Caenorhabditis elegans: one gene and its partners. The protein of the gene in region 1 purifies or fractionates together with the protein of each later gene. This does not show direct contact. Each region holds a gene or a part of one and is shown on either strand. Other genes may lie near its edges.

The links.
Region 2: the proteins of ced-4 (region 1) and ant-1.3 purify together in Caenorhabditis elegans (affinity purification with mass spectrometry, with the first as the bait; one study listed by BioGRID). This does not show direct contact.
Region 3: the proteins of ced-4 (region 1) and ant-1.4 purify together in Caenorhabditis elegans (affinity purification with mass spectrometry, with the first as the bait; one study listed by BioGRID). This does not show direct contact.

What each region holds. Positions count from the first base shown.
Region 1 is NC_003281.10:4,849,179-4,857,011, reverse strand, and holds ced-4 (Cell death protein 4), read right to left. Parts: upstream 4,688-7,833; coding exon 4,237-4,687; intron 4,186-4,236; coding exon 4,092-4,185; intron 4,047-4,091; coding exon 3,959-4,046; coding exon of another isoform or gene 3,957-3,958; intron 3,839-3,956; coding exon 3,704-3,838; intron 3,654-3,703; coding exon 3,316-3,653; intron 2,759-3,315; coding exon 2,483-2,758; intron 2,435-2,482; coding exon 2,329-2,434; intron 2,283-2,328; coding exon 2,055-2,282; downstream 1-2,054. Other genes in the region: C35D10.7 (ULP_PROTEASE domain-containing protein), read right to left, coding at 1-153, 783-809; C35D10.8 (PH domain-containing protein), read right to left, coding at 940-1,032, 1,080-1,229, 1,279-1,392, 1,438-1,576, 1,672-1,676; F26A1.1 (Non-structural maintenance of chromosomes element 4), read right to left, coding at 5,230-5,325, 5,527-6,035, 6,089-6,190, 6,256-6,324, 6,371-6,422, 6,472-6,474; nonu-1 (Smr domain-containing protein), read left to right, coding at 7,162-7,369, 7,418-7,583, 7,632-7,742. UniProt on the Caenorhabditis elegans protein: Component of the egl-1, ced-9, ced-4 and ced-3 apoptotic signaling cascade required for the initiation of programmed cell death in cells fated to die during embryonic and postembryonic development.
Region 2 is NC_003282.8:9,707,668-9,712,391, forward strand, and holds ant-1.3 (ADP/ATP translocase), read right to left. Parts: upstream 1,639-4,724; 5' UTR 1,592-1,638; coding exon 1,582-1,591; intron 1,526-1,581; coding exon 964-1,525; intron 920-963; coding exon 550-919; 3' UTR 501-549; downstream 1-500. Other genes in the region: nhr-38 (Nuclear receptor domain-containing protein), read left to right, coding at 2,563-2,636, 3,175-3,335, 3,383-3,457, 3,502-3,644, 3,835-3,984, 4,027-4,134, 4,182-4,258, 4,305-4,489 and 1 more.
Region 3 is NC_003282.8:8,458,678-8,463,798, forward strand, and holds ant-1.4 (ADP/ATP translocase), read right to left. Parts: upstream 1,632-5,121; 5' UTR 1,601-1,631; coding exon 1,591-1,600; intron 1,527-1,590; coding exon 965-1,526; intron 920-964; coding exon 550-919; 3' UTR 501-549; downstream 1-500. Other genes in the region: syx-4 (Putative syntaxin-4), read left to right, coding at 1-160; str-176 (Major facilitator superfamily (MFS) profile domain-containing protein), read right to left, coding at 2,361-2,516, 2,562-2,885, 2,931-3,018, 3,064-3,312, 3,366-3,545, 3,602-3,843, 3,937-4,067, 4,885-5,121.

The sequences.
Region 1 (7,833 bases):
GTGTATGTCACATACCAGTTCCGGCATAGGCTCTTTGTAGATTTTGAAGCTGCCAGACAGTCGAAGAGTATCTCTAATGGAACCTTCGGGCTTCTTGCAGTGGAGAGAAGGGCCGGCGTGCTCAGAACTTCTCGATGGACGAGATCCTCTGACCTGAAAAACATCAAAGCTTTAGAATTCAATGAGAAAATTTTTTACACGATGAGAATATTTGTTTGGAAAAAACTATAGATACCAAATAGTTTTAAAAATGTTAACTGGCTCTCTTGAATGCTAAAAAATCAGAAAAATTAACAAAAAGAAGCAAAGTCGTGTAGGAAAATGGGTAGACCGAGTTAAATTTCAAAGGGGGTGTTAATAAAACAACAATATTAACTTTTGTTTAAAAGAAACTGCGGGTTTCCACACCTAGAACATAGAGATTTCGTCATAGATTTTGAAAACACATGTTTCGCGCGCTTTCACTTGCATTGATTCTACCTTCCTGCAGAGTAATTGAAATAAATGTTCTTATCTCTTTTCGAAAGCGTGTGCATTCATTCAGAATGAACATAATAATAGAAAAATTGATGGCTAACTGTACTTAATGAACCTTGCCGAAGAAACTGAGAAAATTCAATAAAAGAAGGAAAAATGGAGGCCCAAAAAACTCGAATCTTCCAAACTGAAATTCTACAGTAAGCGCTATCGCGTTTTCGCTGCGAGACTCTTCCGCATGAATGCACCTCCCTTGAAGGATGCAAAAGTACTGTAGCTTTTAGTAAACATTTATTATTATTTACCCGATAATCTCCGTTATTTTGGTGCATGATTTCTCGCCTGAAATAGTAAATAAGAATGAAAGAAGAAGACCAACATTCCGATATTTTCAGACCGAAACTGTTTAAAATGGTATATCTAACAACAAAACGAAAAATAATAATTTTATTGAAGTCAATCTTAGAAGAATTCGGGTGATTTTTCTGACTTGTCCGGAGATGTTGGTGGCGAGCTTGTATCAGTATTGAATTCCATTCTCATGATTTGGGTACTCTGAAAGCATTTCCAGTATTAAAAATGTAAATAAATAATATTTGAACCTCTTGTCGAATTACTAGTCGTTCGTTTGCCATTTTAATCGCTCTATGAAATTCATCTTTGTAATGAGCATCCCGTGCATTCTTGAACTCCGTGTCACTTCCCGATTCACATGGTGTAATGGACAGACGACAAGGCGTCGGCGGATCTGGCTGAAATCATGAATCTTAAGACTAAAACTTCGTTGAATCATGCAAATACCACAAAGAGATGTCCATGGGTGAGGGCTCTTGGTTGATAAGTGACTAGGAGATTGCGTTCGTTGAAAATTGCTCGTCGAGCACGTGTCACCCATTGACCGAAAACAGTGAACCACTGAAAATAGTACGTAATCGATAAGTTAAAATACTGAAACAGTACAATATACAGGGATAATGATATGAAGACTGCTATCGGTCTAGATGGAACTCCATTGATGGCAAGAATCTCGATAAAGTGAAGCAGCAAAGCAAATGTAGTAATGACGCCAACAGAGGAAAGAAATCGAACATCTTCAAAACTGAAAGGAAATTGTAAAAATTACGGTTTTCGTGAAAACTCATCAAATGTCCTTTTGGAATGCACTTTGAATTTAGAACACAGAAAATAACTTACTTCATGTTCGAGACTAAAAGTACGACTTTCAATTTAATGAGGCGTGTTTAAAAATGATCAATTTGGAAGTTTCGAACAATAGGGAATAAATCATTTGGATGCGATAAAATAATAGTCCACGAAATTCTTTACGTGAATGTATTAATTCGATTAATTAAAATTATAAAAGAAACTGAATATATTTGAAAAAAAAAAGCAAGGATGAGATGAAACAAGATGTGTTGAGTATCTGTAGAAAACATTAAATTTAAGAACATTTGGGATAGATCTGAAATTTTGGAGAGAAATAAAACAAGTACAAATGAAAAAATGAGAAAACTCGTGCGAAAAAGTATAAACGTATTTCGAGGGGAATATACAGGCAATATTGTACACGATAGGTTTTAACAGCATGCAAAATTTTTGAGGGAGTCATAGAATTTCTGGTGCAATTGCATGAACTTTGGGAAGTCTTCAGGACGGATCACAGTTTCTTCTGTAGTTTTTGGATACATCTCACTGGCTGATGAACGACGGAATTTTTGGAAATGTGATGGTATATGTCGCTCCGGTACTGATACATTATTGTTTCCTATTTCAAGAAGACGCTGCTCGAGAATTGAGATTCCATTCTGAAAATTTAAAATTTAATTGAAAGTTGAGACATTTTCAGCATACGGCGATAGTTTGTGCATCAACGACGTGTTTCAAGAACATATGGATAATATGATCAATTTTGAATGTCAAAACGGGCATTCGTTTTCCACTGAGAAGAGCTCCACGTCTGAAATTTTAAGTGTTAATTTAAATCTTCAAATTTCAAGACTCATACTTGCTGAGTCTTTTCAACCGATCCGCAACTTCATCATCCAATTGTTCTTCTTCATTTGAACAAATATCAACTGGAATAACACATGACCATAGCTTGACGGGTATATCAACTCCAGGAGGCATCACAACTGCGAAAGCAAGAGCACTTCGATCCTCATCTGACAAAACTTCAACACATCTTTGAAGAGCCATTGCGAGTGACTTGTACGAGTAAGGGGTGATACATTCAACACCGACTAATCCTCGACTTTCCAATTTGTTATTAAGCTGTGCCATTCTGAATGCAAAATGTTTGATAATTTTAAGAATATACCTAGCGATTTTGGACTAAAAATGTATTATTTCGTTTCGACATTCCGGAAAATGATTAAATAAAAAGAGTATGCGGATTTAAGAAGTACAGTAGTCTCCAGCCTTGCTGTTTTTCTATTTTACTTGATTTTTTTTAAATATTTTATTCAGTTTTTAATATTTTTAGACTTGTTTCAAAATAAAAGGCTTTAAATAAAAAGAAACAACAAGAGAAAATCGAAAAATAATGAAAACAGGCTCATACTCGCTTTCATTTAAAAAATTTCCGTCGGGTCGAGACCGTGTATCTCTTGTTCAATTATGTAAAACGATAATTTTCTTAAAAAATTAAATCGATGGCAAATATCAAGAAAATCTCTCGGGTACGGTAGCTACACAGTTTTCTCTCGTGCCAGGATCCTAATTCTTGATTTTGATCCTCAATTCGTAAAATTTAAAGACAATCAGCTATGAAACTTTTTGATTAACTTTTATTGTAGAATAAATTATTTTAAAAGTCTCAAATTGGTATGTCCCACTCACTTTTCAAATGTTTTCGGTTCACAAGACTTGAAAAACATCATAAGCGTTGCTGGATTTCCACTGCTTAGTTCGATTGTTTTATTAAGCACATCTTCTTCTTTTTCTCCAACAGGCATCGGCATTCCATAAGCTTCTAGAAAATCATAACATTCATCGATTTCCAATGATGTCACTTCAATGAATTCGCATGTTTGAGAAGCAGCATTTGATATTTCCACGTCACGAGTAGTTACAAGACATCGAAGACGTAGCTCCTGAGCCCAACGAATTGTTTCTTCTTGAACTACGTCATCAAATACGAATAAAGTATTTGGACGATCAATGAGTGCGTTGCAGATCTAAAAACCAATAATTTAAGATATTGTACCAGAATCGGCAAGCAACTTACCATCCTTTTGAGTACAACTGACGTGACATGCTCCACCGATGGGAAATTGAGAAGATCGTCTTCGCTTCTTGAAAGAACACGGTTAATGAAGTCGGTGATCGAATGCGAGTCATCCGTGTCGCTCACAACACGGGCTCGTCTTCAAACACACAAAACATGCAAGCGTCACGAAATATCAAATTAAAAGCTAACCAGGTCAAATTTTCATAATTTCAAAATCATGCTGAATGTTACATGCACTCTATTCACTCACTTTAGCATCAGCAAAATATCCGTAAATAAATCGAATGTAGATTTTGGAGCTGTTCCACTATCTTTGAGCCAAACGATTGAATCATAATTTCTGTAATAGAATGAAGATCCGTAGGATTCAGATAATACCACTCACATTCCAATAAGTTGGTCAGATTTCGAAAGAGCTTGTGATGCAATTACTGATTTTCCGGATCCAGCTCGGCCGTGTAGAAACAGAAAAAAGGAGTCTGAAGTTTAAGCAAGATTATAATAAACACGAGAGCTTCCAGTTTTCTCACCTAAATCACACATCTCGTCGAGCTTTTTGATCACTCGATCCACGTGATACTCTCGAATATAGCATGTCATTTGTTTTGGAACATTCCCAAGCAATAGTTTCCTATCGAGCATTTGTCGGGAAAATTGTGGAGCAATCACTACTGGACGAAGTAGATCTGGCTCATTTATCGCAAAATCGATGTAGTCTTCGAGGAAATCAGCAAGGTGACTTTGATTGTTGTAGTTGAAAAAGTCGATGAGTGGTCCAAGTTCAGAAGCTTGACGTCGATAGATTCGAAGAAAATTGGCGATCCTCTCGAGGCGAGTTGACATTTTACTGATAAGTTCAGAATGATCTTCTGTGAAAATGTTTTTGCCTTCTAAATAAGTCAATGCGTCACGTGGTTCAAAGTCGTGGATGAGCCTCGTGTGTGCCGTGCTCAAAGCGCGGCATTCGATTTCGCAGAGCATCTGAAAAATCTTCTTGATTATAAGGAAGCAAGATTTTGTGAATTTTAAAATGCTAGGTGATGTTTTCGAAACAACGGTTAGCTGGAGAATATACAATAGCATTGATAAAAAATTATTTGTTAAACATTATATACACTTTAAAAAAACAGGCATGTAATATAGAGGATAAATCTCCAAGCCCGAAATGTGCATAAATTGTGAGGCATAAAAATACCTTGAAAATGAGTAAAGAACATTGTATAATCAGATAGAAGCAAGAAAGATTTTAAAAAAATACAGTAAAGCTTACAGATAAAATGAAATTAAACATGAAGGAGTACTAATTTATAAAAATCGTTGAATATAAATAGACCGGAAGATATGCTGATCTCGAATGCAACGAGTAAAAAGTAGACAAAAATAAATTCGAATTTTCAGATAAAAATGCAGTTTATTTGGTAGAAACATTGTACAGGAATGTGAGAGGCCTAATAAACAAAAATATATCGGCAAATCGGCATATAGTTCTTATTTAAAAAGCGAATGAGTAAAACAGTGAAATATCACAATCCTTTATCCTTTCCTCTTTGCTTAGTGATTGTCACACGTCCTTCTTCTAAATCTTCCACTGTCGCTGATATTTGCCGAGAATCCCAACCCTGTAATACAATATTCAAATACAAAAACAGTACATTTTGTAGCTTCATACAACAATCAGAAAAATTATAATTTAAATTAAAAAGAAAGCCAAGCCCTCTTTATTGCGTTTTATTGATTTTTAATCGTTTTTCGTTAATCTTCGAAAATTAATTTGGAAAAAAAAACAATTTTTTTAATTGTAGAAACATCAGATAACTTACATTAGCCCCTTTCAAGTTAATCATTTTATCGGTGACAATTTCGAGTTTTGCGAGCATTTCTCCAAATATTCTGTTATACGCATAGACATCTTCGCCGTGTTTGAATGACTTGTTATCGATCACAAGTTTCGGTTTCTGAATCGATACCGAACAGACAATGATTCGACGCGAATTCGGCCGATTCATAATAATATCCAACTCTTGTCGAATTCTCGGATTTTCGAAAGACAAATTCAGCTTGAATTCAGGTATTCGAGTATTCTGATTTGAATTGAAGTAAGTGACTGGCTCAACAAGCTGTCCTCCTCCACGTCCTCGCAGAGTTTTCTTGTTGGACTCGAACACAGGCGGAGCTGACTGTTGTTTATGAATATCGATGACTCCGTATTCATGCAAAACTGTTTTGTCCATTTCATCACTCCTTTTCGTGAATTCGTCTAGCAATTCCGTTAACCGCAATGTGCATTCTGCTTGATCTGCGGCACTTCTTGTATTGAAATCATTTTTTGCTAAAGAATTTGTATTTTGAGCTTTTCAAAGTTTTCAACAATTCAAAAGATACCTTTTAGTTCGGCTCTCGCGCGATGGCACTCAATTCGATCCTTCTGGACTTTTCTATCTTTATCGAAGTTCCGGCGAGCAGTATGTAAAAGTGGATGATTGTCTGAAACATTTAAATTTAATAATTAAAATAAAATCAATAAAAGATAATCTTGACAGCTGGTTTACCGTGTTCCAACATTGCCAGCTCTTCAATTAATTTATTGATCGGCATGTGACGAGCATGTCGGATGAAATCTGAAAGAAAACCATTATCATGTGAATGTTAATCAATAATATATACCATCGTCAAACTCCACATCGTTTGTGTTAGATGTACTCGCAATTCCAACGTCCTGGAATAATATATTCAATTAAAAATGTTTTAAAATACTAGTCTCTCACCATCCAGGATTGTTATAGGTTAATTGAGTGACAGCTGTAAATGTTTATCGGAACTTTAATGTTTTATAAAAAGTAATTGTTAGAAAAAGTGAAGAGTTATAAAATATTATTTAAATGAAGCAAACAAAGAGCAAGCTGCTCCGCTTTGCAATTCGAATTGCCGGGAATATCAATCGTCGTCAAATCAGGTGCATTGGTACCATAAGCCGTCGAGTGTTTGCACAGAAACACATTTTTGTTTATTTTTTGAATTTAAAAGTGTAAACTTTATGATTTTGAAATGGTTTTTTTATGTTTTATTTTCCTTTTTCCTGTATTTTAGACCCATCGGTAGAAAATGAAAGCAACAATAAAGCTCTGGTGTCTAATAACCGGCTTTGTATATATTGCGCCCAGATTCCTTCTTTATTCATAATTAAAACATTGTTTCGCGAAAAAAAAATGTGTCGAAACTTCGACACATTTTCATAACTTTCATTTTGAAAAAGGGGACGGGCTTTAACACGTCCTTTTCCACAATTCATATGTCTTCACGAAGTGTGCGTGGATTGTGACTTCTACCCAGTTTTCTTTCCATCTCTGCGTCTTGCTCTCCCCAATTTCACGTGATAGACGACGCAAGCCTGAAAAATCATTATTAAAAATCTATCACTCGTTTTATGAAAAAAAGTTTTCAGTGATCAGCCAACAATGTCACCACGAAAGCATGAACAGTGTTTTAATTTCGATGCTGAGATATCGGATATTCAAAAATGCCTTGTCGAAGGTCATCGCACAATTATTTTAATTCGCGGAGTTACGGGATCCGGAAAATCAACATTAGCTCGAGAGTTGGTAAACCATTCCGAAAACGGCGTTATTGTGAAAAACGATGTTTCCAATAATATAACAAGATCAGGTATTTAATTTAAACATTGTTTGTGTACATAATAAAAATTAATTTCAGTGCGAAAATTTATCGATGAAGATAAACATCTTATCGTTGTAGACGAGGAGAACGTACAACGATCAAGTGTTAAAAAATTCGCAGAGTTAGCGGTTAATGGCCACTACGAAATTTTCGTGTTGGAGCCGGACACGGATTGGAGACACGATGCAATTGAATGCAAAAAGTTTGAGTTTTAATTCCTGAATTTTCTTCTAAATATTTCATTTTACAGAAGAAGCGAAAAAGATGAAGAGATCGGGTCTATCGAGTCGAAAATCATGCAATTAAAAGAAAATCAACTCGGCTGGGAACATTTAGTAATTGGTGGAGAAGCTTCAGTAAAGTAAGCCAAAAGCTCAGTTGGTGTCAGGCTTTCCCACATTTTCATCTAAAGTTTTTTTAAACCATAGAATAGTGATGTGGCACGCTTTTGA
Region 2 (4,724 bases), on another chromosome or scaffold:
TAATTTTTGTGAATATTAGTTATTAGAGTTTCTGTGAAATTCTTTTTCTTCCGTGATTTATTGATACGGGTTTCGCGAGTAAATCTTCCGTGATATGTTGTTCCGAATTAGCATTCCAGAAAAGTTGAAATTTACAGAAGTGAAAAAAAACCGCAATTTTTCTTGAAGACAAATAATGTTGAATTTGGAAAGACACAGCTTTAGACCATATCAATTTGCTGAATCACACTAATAGTATTTATAAAAAGAGCTTTTAGGTTTAAAATGATTGTGACTATGTGACGAAACGGCCAAGAGGAGATAAGAGGATCTCTCTAGAAAAAGGAAGCTTGAGGATTTTGTTTGCAAAATGATGCGATTCTAACTAGAACTCAGTTGATTCATTGAAGTTACCTTGTTAAATTGCATGAGAATGTTCGATACTGAAAATGCTAAAGAAAAATATTTTCTGAATGAAGAGATTGAGACGCTGTGTTTAGTTTGTTGAGTAACAAATAGAAGATTTCAATTAAAATAATTTTACTAAAATTACAAAAACAATTCAAGACTTTAAATGAACTTCTGGATTTCATCGTAGATGGCCAGAACGAGTGCTCCACCAGTTCCACGGAACACATTCGACAGAGCTCCCTTGAACATGGCAGACATTCCTTCGTTTTTGATGATCTTGACAGCACAATCCAAGGTATTCTTGTAGAGAACATCTTTGCGACCAGACTGCATCATCATGCGACGGCGAACAGTATCCCATGGATAGGAAATGATTCCAGATCCGACGGTGACGACTTGAGCAATAGCCCAGGCGGCGAAGAAGTTGAGTTTCTTGCCATCAGCAGTGAATACCATCTTGGCAGTGTCGAACATTCCGAAGTAAGCGGCACGGTAGATGATGATACCTTGTACAGAAACAAAGAATCCTCTGAAAATTAATGTTTGCTTATATTATAAAAATGGAAAAAATACCTGTAGAGTCCGATTGGACCATCCGATTTTGCAATCTTGACGAGACAATCAGCCAGACCTTTGAATTCACGTTCATTAGCTTTTCCGACGTCAGCAGCCAAGCGGGTACGAGCGAAATCCAATGGGTAGACGAAGCAGAGAGAAGTTGCTCCGGCAGCTCCACCAGAAGCGAGATTCCCGGCGAAGAACTTCCAAAAATCCTTCTTCTTGTCCAATCCCTTTTGGAAAATGTTTTTGTATGTATCCTTGAATGCGAAGTTCAGCGCCTGGGTTGGGAAGTATCGGATGACATTGGCCAAGTTTCCTCTCCAGAGAGCAGCATATCCTTGCTCTTTCGGGACACGAACGAGGACATCGACGATTCCTTTGTAACGTTTATCGGCGGCGATAGTTAGGGAAGCATCCTGTACTTGCAAAAGAAGCTTGACACGTTCAATCGGAGCCACAGCAGTCTTGGAGACAGCGGCAGCAGTTCCTCCCGAGGCGAGATCAATCAAGAATTTTCGGGTATCGAAACCTTTCTTATCCTCCTTCTTCTTTTCAATAGGCTTTGAATCTCCTCCTGAAAGAATACAAATATTAAATTAAAACCAGAAATATCGATTAAGATTTACTTACCTCCAGTCATGCTTGCAGTAGTGCTGCTGGATATCCAAGCGGTTGAAAACCGGAACTGATTCTAAAGTGAGCCCTTCGATTAAAAATCGACAGTGAAACGTGGCAAAAGCGCTTCTTTAACCGAGGTCACGTGAATAATGCAAAATGCTACTCCAAAACTCATATTTCTGTTTTTCACGTTCTCGTAAATATATTTTCACGTTTTTAAACATATTTTTAAAAGCATAAAAGATTATTTAAAAATATTCTTTTTTTTTAATATCGCGTATAAATTGCTTGATTTCACTGTGAAAGTGTTCTAAAAGAAAAAGAAACAGAAAAATCAAAGAATTCCGCAACGGAGCGGGTTACTGTAGCATTCAAACGCGCACTCTTTCCTTGCTCGAAATTTAGACCCACGGGTTTGAAAAATTTTGTTCATGTGGAATCGAGGTGAAAATCCCAAAATTAGCGGAAAGAAATTATTTTTGTTTTCATTTGAATATGTGAATTATTTTCGGATGCACCTCTTTTAATTGCGAAGTCATCAATAAGTTGAGCATTCTAATGATATTTTCAACATGAAACAGGTGACAAAACACTGTTATCATACAAAAATAGATTAACTTCCTTCTTCTAGCCTTATCCTCTTAAAACATATGTTTATCGTTTCGTCACATAATCGCAATCATTTTAAACCAAAAAGCTTCTTCATACTAGACAACTTCATTAGTATGAATCAGCATCTGGTACGTATTGGGTCCAAATCTGTGTGTCATTCCAGTTTTAAAAAGTATTTTAAAACCTTCTTCACTCATCTTCAATCTGAAAACCCCTCCCAAAAAGCTTATCAGATGGAGATAAGAAGAGGAGGAGGCAACTGAACCTTGTTATCCAAGATTATCAGATGTAGTATAAAAATTTGTAGACTTATCTATTTCACTTCGAACTTTGAGCAAAATAAAGCAAATTTGAGCTTCTAAGTTATTGAGGTGACCTTACATGAGTCTATACTGTTCAAGCTTTGATAATCAGTGTTACTGGATGATGGATGACAGTCAAGTAGTGTGGAACAGGTAGGTCTATGTGTTTTTATCAGAAATTGGAATTAGGATTTTGTTTGAGTTTTGTAATAGTTTTAGTTATTTTCAGTGGTTATTCCACAAGGAAAAGCGTCGATGAAAAGAGAAATGAAAATATAATTAGAAAAATAACACAAATATGTATGTTTAGATGGTTTTAATATCGAATAGTTTTATGATATTTTTTTTGCAAAGTGATATTATATTTCCAACAATATGACATTGATTACAAGCTGATTGCAATAAAATCTGGAAAGAGCATCAGTTTCAAAAATTTACATTTGAAAAAAAGGTTTAATTCAATTTTAAAATGGGTCAAAAAGCCTGCCGGTTTGCAAACTTAGCCATGTAGGCAGGCTCTCACGGCTGAATCCAGTTGCTTTTGTTCACTCTATAACATATCTGTTCAATCTAATTCTCACATTCTATTCTTCATTTTACTCGGTATTTGCTTTAAAAATACACAAAAAAGAATTAAAATAGATTTTCAAAATCTCCACCTTCTAACCCTCAATTCATAATTTAATTCCAGCTCAGCACCTCAAGAGATGATCTGCTCAATTTGCTCGGATAAAGCCGAAGGATATCATTTTGGAGCAATAAGCTGTGCTGCATGTGGTGCATTCTTCCGACGCAGTGTTTCTGATCAAAAAGTATACTCATGTTCTAATAGACAATGTAGTATTGTACACGGTAATCTAAAGTTGAACAAAATATAAATGTAACAAAAAGAATTAAAGATCCAACAAAGAGAGGTGGAAGCTGCAGATTCTGCAGATTTTTGAAGTGTGTGAGCAGTGGAATGATGCCTCAAGGTAATTTATATATTCAAAATAATATCAAATTTTCAAATTTCCAGACGTAAAAGCCAAAAGAACTTCTTCATCACAACAAAATGTCACGTCTCTTTACCGAAATATGAATCAAAGTTCCATTCTACTAATCGATCAAATTATTGCTTTTCGCAGAAGTATTGCAGCTGAAAGGCCGATTTTCGATTTGGTACGTAGAGATTTGAAAGAATTGAGATTTTAAGGGTAAATAAGAGCTTAACTCATATTTACTAAGATTATGGAATAATCTTGAATAAATAACGGTTTATTCAATATTTGAAAAATCTGTTGTAAGTAGAATAAATCTAGGTATTCTCTTCTTCTCTCTACATTAATTTAAATTTTTCAATTAATTTCAGATTTCCCGATCAACAACTCGTACAAACTTGAAAATTTCTCTCCACCAAGAATACGAAATTATGCGAAGAATATCAACTGGATCTCCCTTGATCATGCAAGTTATCGAACATTTTTACGCACACTTTGGGAGCTTGGATAATAATTTCATGGTAATAATTTTCAACTAACTAATATGAAAATTAACTTTACAGAGCGACCCACTCGGTGACATATTCCTATTGGTTTTTGTCTTTGAAGCATGTGTTTTGACTGCTACAAAAGGTGGAATCCAACTAGATAGACTGTTTCTGCCAAATATGGTTTGTTTTATTAAAACAAAGACATAATTAAAAAATATATATCTTAGGTCCATATTGATTTGAGTGAGCAACCATTTTTGGAGTTTATGGAGTGTGAGCAACATGTCAATTTGAACCCATACAGGTATTATAACTTAATTCTGAAATAACTAAAAATGTGATATTTCCAGAAACATTCTGAATTCATTTAGTTTCCTTGTTCAATTGGTATCACGATCGTTTCAATCATGCAATTTCGATGAACCACTTTTATCCATTTTATTCTATAAATGCATAACGGAAGCAGTTCCAATCAATTTTCGACATTGTTTTGCTGATGTGAATCGGGATAGTCTTTTGACAGATTTGAACAGAGGTAACAATTTCTAAAAATATTTCAAACTAATTCAACAATTTATTTTCAGTAGATCCTGTTTCATTTGAACAAATCCAGAACACATCTGCCCAAATTCATCAAGGAACTCGGGCGTTCAAAGATGCAATCTCAAGCATTTTATAACTTGAATAAATCGATTTTTTTGAAGAAATGTTTCTAAAAATTAAACAGCTGATATGAACTTCTCAAAACTAAATTTGTACTTCTCAAAAGT
Region 3 (5,121 bases), on another chromosome or scaffold:
TGCGGAGCAAGCCCAGCAGAACGTGCGGCAGGCTGTTGTGCTGCGTCGGAAGAACCGTAAATGGAAGATCGTTACGTGCATCGCGCTGATCGTGCTCCTGCTCGTTGTCGTCTACCTTCTCTCCCATTTCCTCGGTGCAATCATCCCGGGTTGGAAATAATGCTATTTTAATTCCTTCGGGTCTATTTTTTGTGATTTTTTTTCGATTATTTTTCCAAGTTTCTACAGTATTTATACGAATAAACGTTTTTCTGCCAATATCGGAACAGTTTTGGCTCACAAGCTCAATTTCAGAGCTAAATTGATGGAAACCCTAATTTTGACTAACTGGTAATTAAATAAAATTGAGAAATAGTCTAGATCGTAGGTTATTTTAAATATCAAATAAGTACATTGTTTTTCCTCATTGGTTTCCTCATTGTTCAGAGAGACCAAAAATGACCGTAGTTCATTGATTTTTTCATGAAAAGAGTTTCTCTTTTTGAGTAACAAAACGATTTCAATTAAAATAATTTTACTAAATAAAAATACAAAAACAATTGAAGATCATTAAATGAACTTTTGGATTTCATCGTAGATGGCAAGAACGAGTGCTCCACCAGTTCCACGGAATACATTTGACAGGGCTCCCTTGAACATGGCGGACATTCCTTCGTTTTTGATGATCTTGACGGCACAATCCAAAGTATTCTTGTAGAGAACATCTTTGCGACCAGACTGCATCATCATGCGACGACGAACAGTATCCCATGGATAGGAGAGGATTCCAGATCCAACAGTAACCACTTGAGCAATAGCCCAGGCAGCGAAGAAGTTGAGTTTCTTGCCATCAGCAGTGAACACCATCTTGGCAGTGTCGAACATTCCGAAGTAAGCGGCGCGGTAGATGATGATACCTTGTACCGAGACAAAGAAACCTCTGAAAAAATAATAATTTTTTAAATTTTCTAAATAGAAAAAATACCTGTAGAGTCCGATTGGTCCATCCGACTTTGCGATCTTGACGAGACAATCGGCCAGGCCTTTGAATTCACGTTCATTAGCTTTTCCGACATCAGCAGCCAAACGGGTACGAGCAAAATCCAATGGGTAGACAAAACAGAGCGAAGTGGCTCCAGCTGCTCCACCAGAAGCTAGATTTCCGGCGAAGAACTTCCAGAAATCCTTCTTCTTATCCAATCCCTTTTGGAAAATGTTTTTGTAAGTATCCTTGAAAGCGAAGTTCAGCGCCTGGGTCGGGAAGTATCGGATGACGTTAGCCAAGTTTCCTCTCCAGAGAGCAGCATATCCTTGCTCCTTTGGGACACGAACGAGGACATCGACGATTCCTTTGTAACGTTTATCGGCAGCAATGGTGAGGGAAGCATCCTGTACTTGCAACAGAAGCTTGACACGTTCAATCGGAGCAACAGCAGTCTTGGAAACAGCGGCAGCAGTTCCTCCCGAGGCCAGATCAATCAAGAATTTTCGAGTATCGAAACCTTTCTTGTCCTCCTTCTTCTTATCGATAGGCTTTGAATCTCCACCTGGAATAATCTTGAATTAACACCAGAAATATATAATTTCCTGAATAGAAATAGATGCACTTACCTCCAGACATGCTTGCAGTAGTGCTGCTGGATAACCAAGCGGTTGAAAACCGGAACTGATTATAAAGTGAGTTCTTCGGTGAATAATCGACAGTGAAACGTGGCAGACGCATATATTCGACCGAGGTCACGTGGAAAATTTGAATGGCACTTCAAAACTCATCTTTCTTTTTCTTCTTTTTTCACCGATTTTCCACAGTTTATGTAAAACTATTTTGCTCCACAAACACACAATGCTTTCTCCAAATCCTACGAAAACCACCTAAAAATTCTAGGAATTTCATCAGCTCGCTCTCTCCGCCTCAAAGCCCAACTATTTCTGCTATACAAGATCCTCATAGGCTCAGCGCACTTCCCACAAAGCAGTGACTTTGTTACGCTTTCTAGCTCGTCTCGTCGTCCAATGTTCCTTAAAATTAAAAATCTTAAATGTCGTAGCTTTTTCTCCCGTGCCAATATGGAACAGCATTGTACGAAACTCTAGTTTTTTTCCTATCCCCATCACAATTCCTTTCCCTTATTGATTGTCAAATACCTAAATTCTGATCTCTACCCCTTTCACTTAAGCTCGTGCTCTGTCGGGCCGAGTTTATTTTAACCTATTCATCGTGTAAATATCATAACCGGTTATGTGTTTTTTCTTTTCCATTTTTCCATGATGAATAAATTATCTTTTGATGAGTATAGGAAACTTAAATTAATATTTGATATCAACATTGTTTGAAACAAATTAATGATTTTAATACATTTATATACAAAGAAAATACATCATCATGAACGTTTTCCAAAGATTCTTTTATGTTTTGGAGGTAAATGGTTTTCCAAGATAACTCCTTTTGTTTCTGGTAGGAATAAAGATAAAACAATGAAATCATAAAGTTGGCAGGAGAATAGTACTGCGTAGGGAATCCATTCGGCATAGTCACTCTGAATTTCGAGGCTTATTTTTAGATGAGTATACAAAATGCTTACCAAATAAAACAATTGTGGTGAGAACATGCTTCCAATTCTGCTCATGGTTGAAACAGCGGAAACTGCTAAGTTTCTGACGGCAGTTGGATAAAGCTCATTAACCATCATATATTTGGCAATGAAAAGTTGTGAGCACATGGAAACAGCAGCCACAGTTCCGATTGCAATTAATTGTCCATTATATCCAAAATAGAGATAAACGGCAATCATGAGAAGCGCGAAAAGTGTACATATCATTGCAATTTGGTTGATCATTTTTCTTCCAAACCATGGAAGTTTGTAGTCAGCTATGCTCACAGCAATGTTTATAATCCAGCGAGAAGCCTAGAATTGATAAGGTAAATAGGAAATCTGTATAGGTACTCTTACCCCCATAATTGCAAGATTCCAGTACAAAGATCCAGATAGCTTTTCCATGTTGTACATCAATGAATATACAATAAATGTTGTACATGTTCTGTAATAAAAAATAAAACCAGAAATATATATTTTTCAAACTCACATTCCAGTAATAAAAGTTAGGGATTGTGCAATCATTTTCCATGTGCAGAACAAATGAATAAATGTGTACTTCTTCGCTTTTTTCGAGCTTCTTGCGTGTTTTTCAGCTTCAACATGAAGCACTTCATCGAGCTGTTTTTCAAACGTCTCATCGTATAATTTATCGGTCTTTCGAATTCTAATAAGTGATTTACGAGCTTCTTCAATTCGTCCTTTTTGAATGAGCCAACGTGGAGACTCTTCAAGAATTCTGAAATTTTACGATAGGAGCTTTGAAATATAACAAGTATCGGTAAAACTTACAAACAAGCTAAAAATGTTGCAATAGAAGAAGCTGCAATAACAACGGACATTGTTCTCCAATCTTGACAAAGCCATGCAACGAATGGGAATAGAATTAGATTTGGAGACCATGTGATTGAGTTTTGAATCCACATACGATCCTTGCGTGGAATATTTTCGACCATAAAAACCATTTGAACACTTAAAAGTTTAATTCATAGTTATTTTTGTTCTGAAAAATGAATAAAGGAACTTACACAGTAACCCCTCCTGTGAAAACTCCAGCCAAAGTTCTCCAAACCATAAAATAAAACAAATCAGGAGAATACGCAGTGATCCAATTAAATAGTCCATTTCCCAATGTAGAAATAAGTAAAGCTTTACGTCTTCCAAATGTGTCTGAAACTTGTCCAAAAATGGCTGCTCCAACAAGGACACCGAACGTTTGAACTGTGATCGTATTCTTTACTTTTTTAGCATCTTCGCATATATAATTGAACTGAATTAAATTGTTCGTTTGAGTGTATAATCGGTTGCCTTCACTATTCATATCTAATTCCTTACTTTACTGAGATTTTTATTTTATACCTACCTCTACTTGAACTGATTTAAACTGATATCTAAGATCAGGTTCACATAGATTGGTCTCATTCCGAAATGCTGCCAATTCGTGACATCCGTTTAGCGGTGTTCCTCCACATCCGATGACAGCAGGATTTGCACCTAAAATTGATAGTTTTATGATTGATTGTCTTATAGGAACTTCGAACGTTTTGATAAGAACTCTTTTTGTAGATGAAATAAACAAAAACTCGTTGTTTACTCTTTTAAATTTTTCTAAATGTTGTATTATCAGTGAGGATTCAGTCAAATTACACTTTTTATCGTCTAAAACAACCGAATACAATTTTCAGATTTTTCAAAAGTTTTATCCATAATTTAGTAAATTGCCAAATTTTGTGAAAAATTTGGGGTATTTGAGTAATTTCAGGAACTCGTAGAAAACTTTTCTTTGGTCAATTTACTAAATTATGAGAGGGCACTGGATTTTCGCCAAAATTTTATTGTAAATAAAGCGTTTCAAAAAGCTTTCGAAAAGTTAGTTTTATTATGATTTTTATCGTTTTAGCACTAGTAGAGAACACTGTAGCCGCAAAAACCAGGCGAGATCAATAGACCCACCCTTTTAATTACTTTCTCGTGTTACCTTGGACTATCATTTCACGTGAATCTGACGGTTTTCATACTCAATCTGTCATAATCACTTCTTCTGACCTGACAGGTGGACTGTTTACCATTAGACATGAAATAAATACAAAGATGATTCTAATAACTAGTTTTCGGATCATTAGTTTGAAAATTGCAAAGGGTTCAAGAAAGATGAACATTTTTTGATGAAGCAACTCCATTTAGAGCCTATCCGCTTGCCTATAGGCATGAAGAAACCCGCCATGAGAAATATCTACGCATAGCTTGCCGATCAAACTACCCATACATTATTTTAAAACTCAAACAACCGAGCAATCTAAATCATGAATACCTGCAAAAACCATGACTTTACTGCTTGCAGTTGCTGTGAAAGCTGTCAATTCTGCCATGAGCAGTACCAGCATACAGTACCACCGAAGGGTGATAAAATCATCCAAACTTCCAACTTTTTTCTCTTCAACCATCATTTCCAATGATTTTTTGGGTACAATTGGAGTCTGAACAACTGCTTCCACATCCTCTGGTTTCAAAAGTGTTTCCTGTTCCAAGCTGGAGCTAGACGACGATG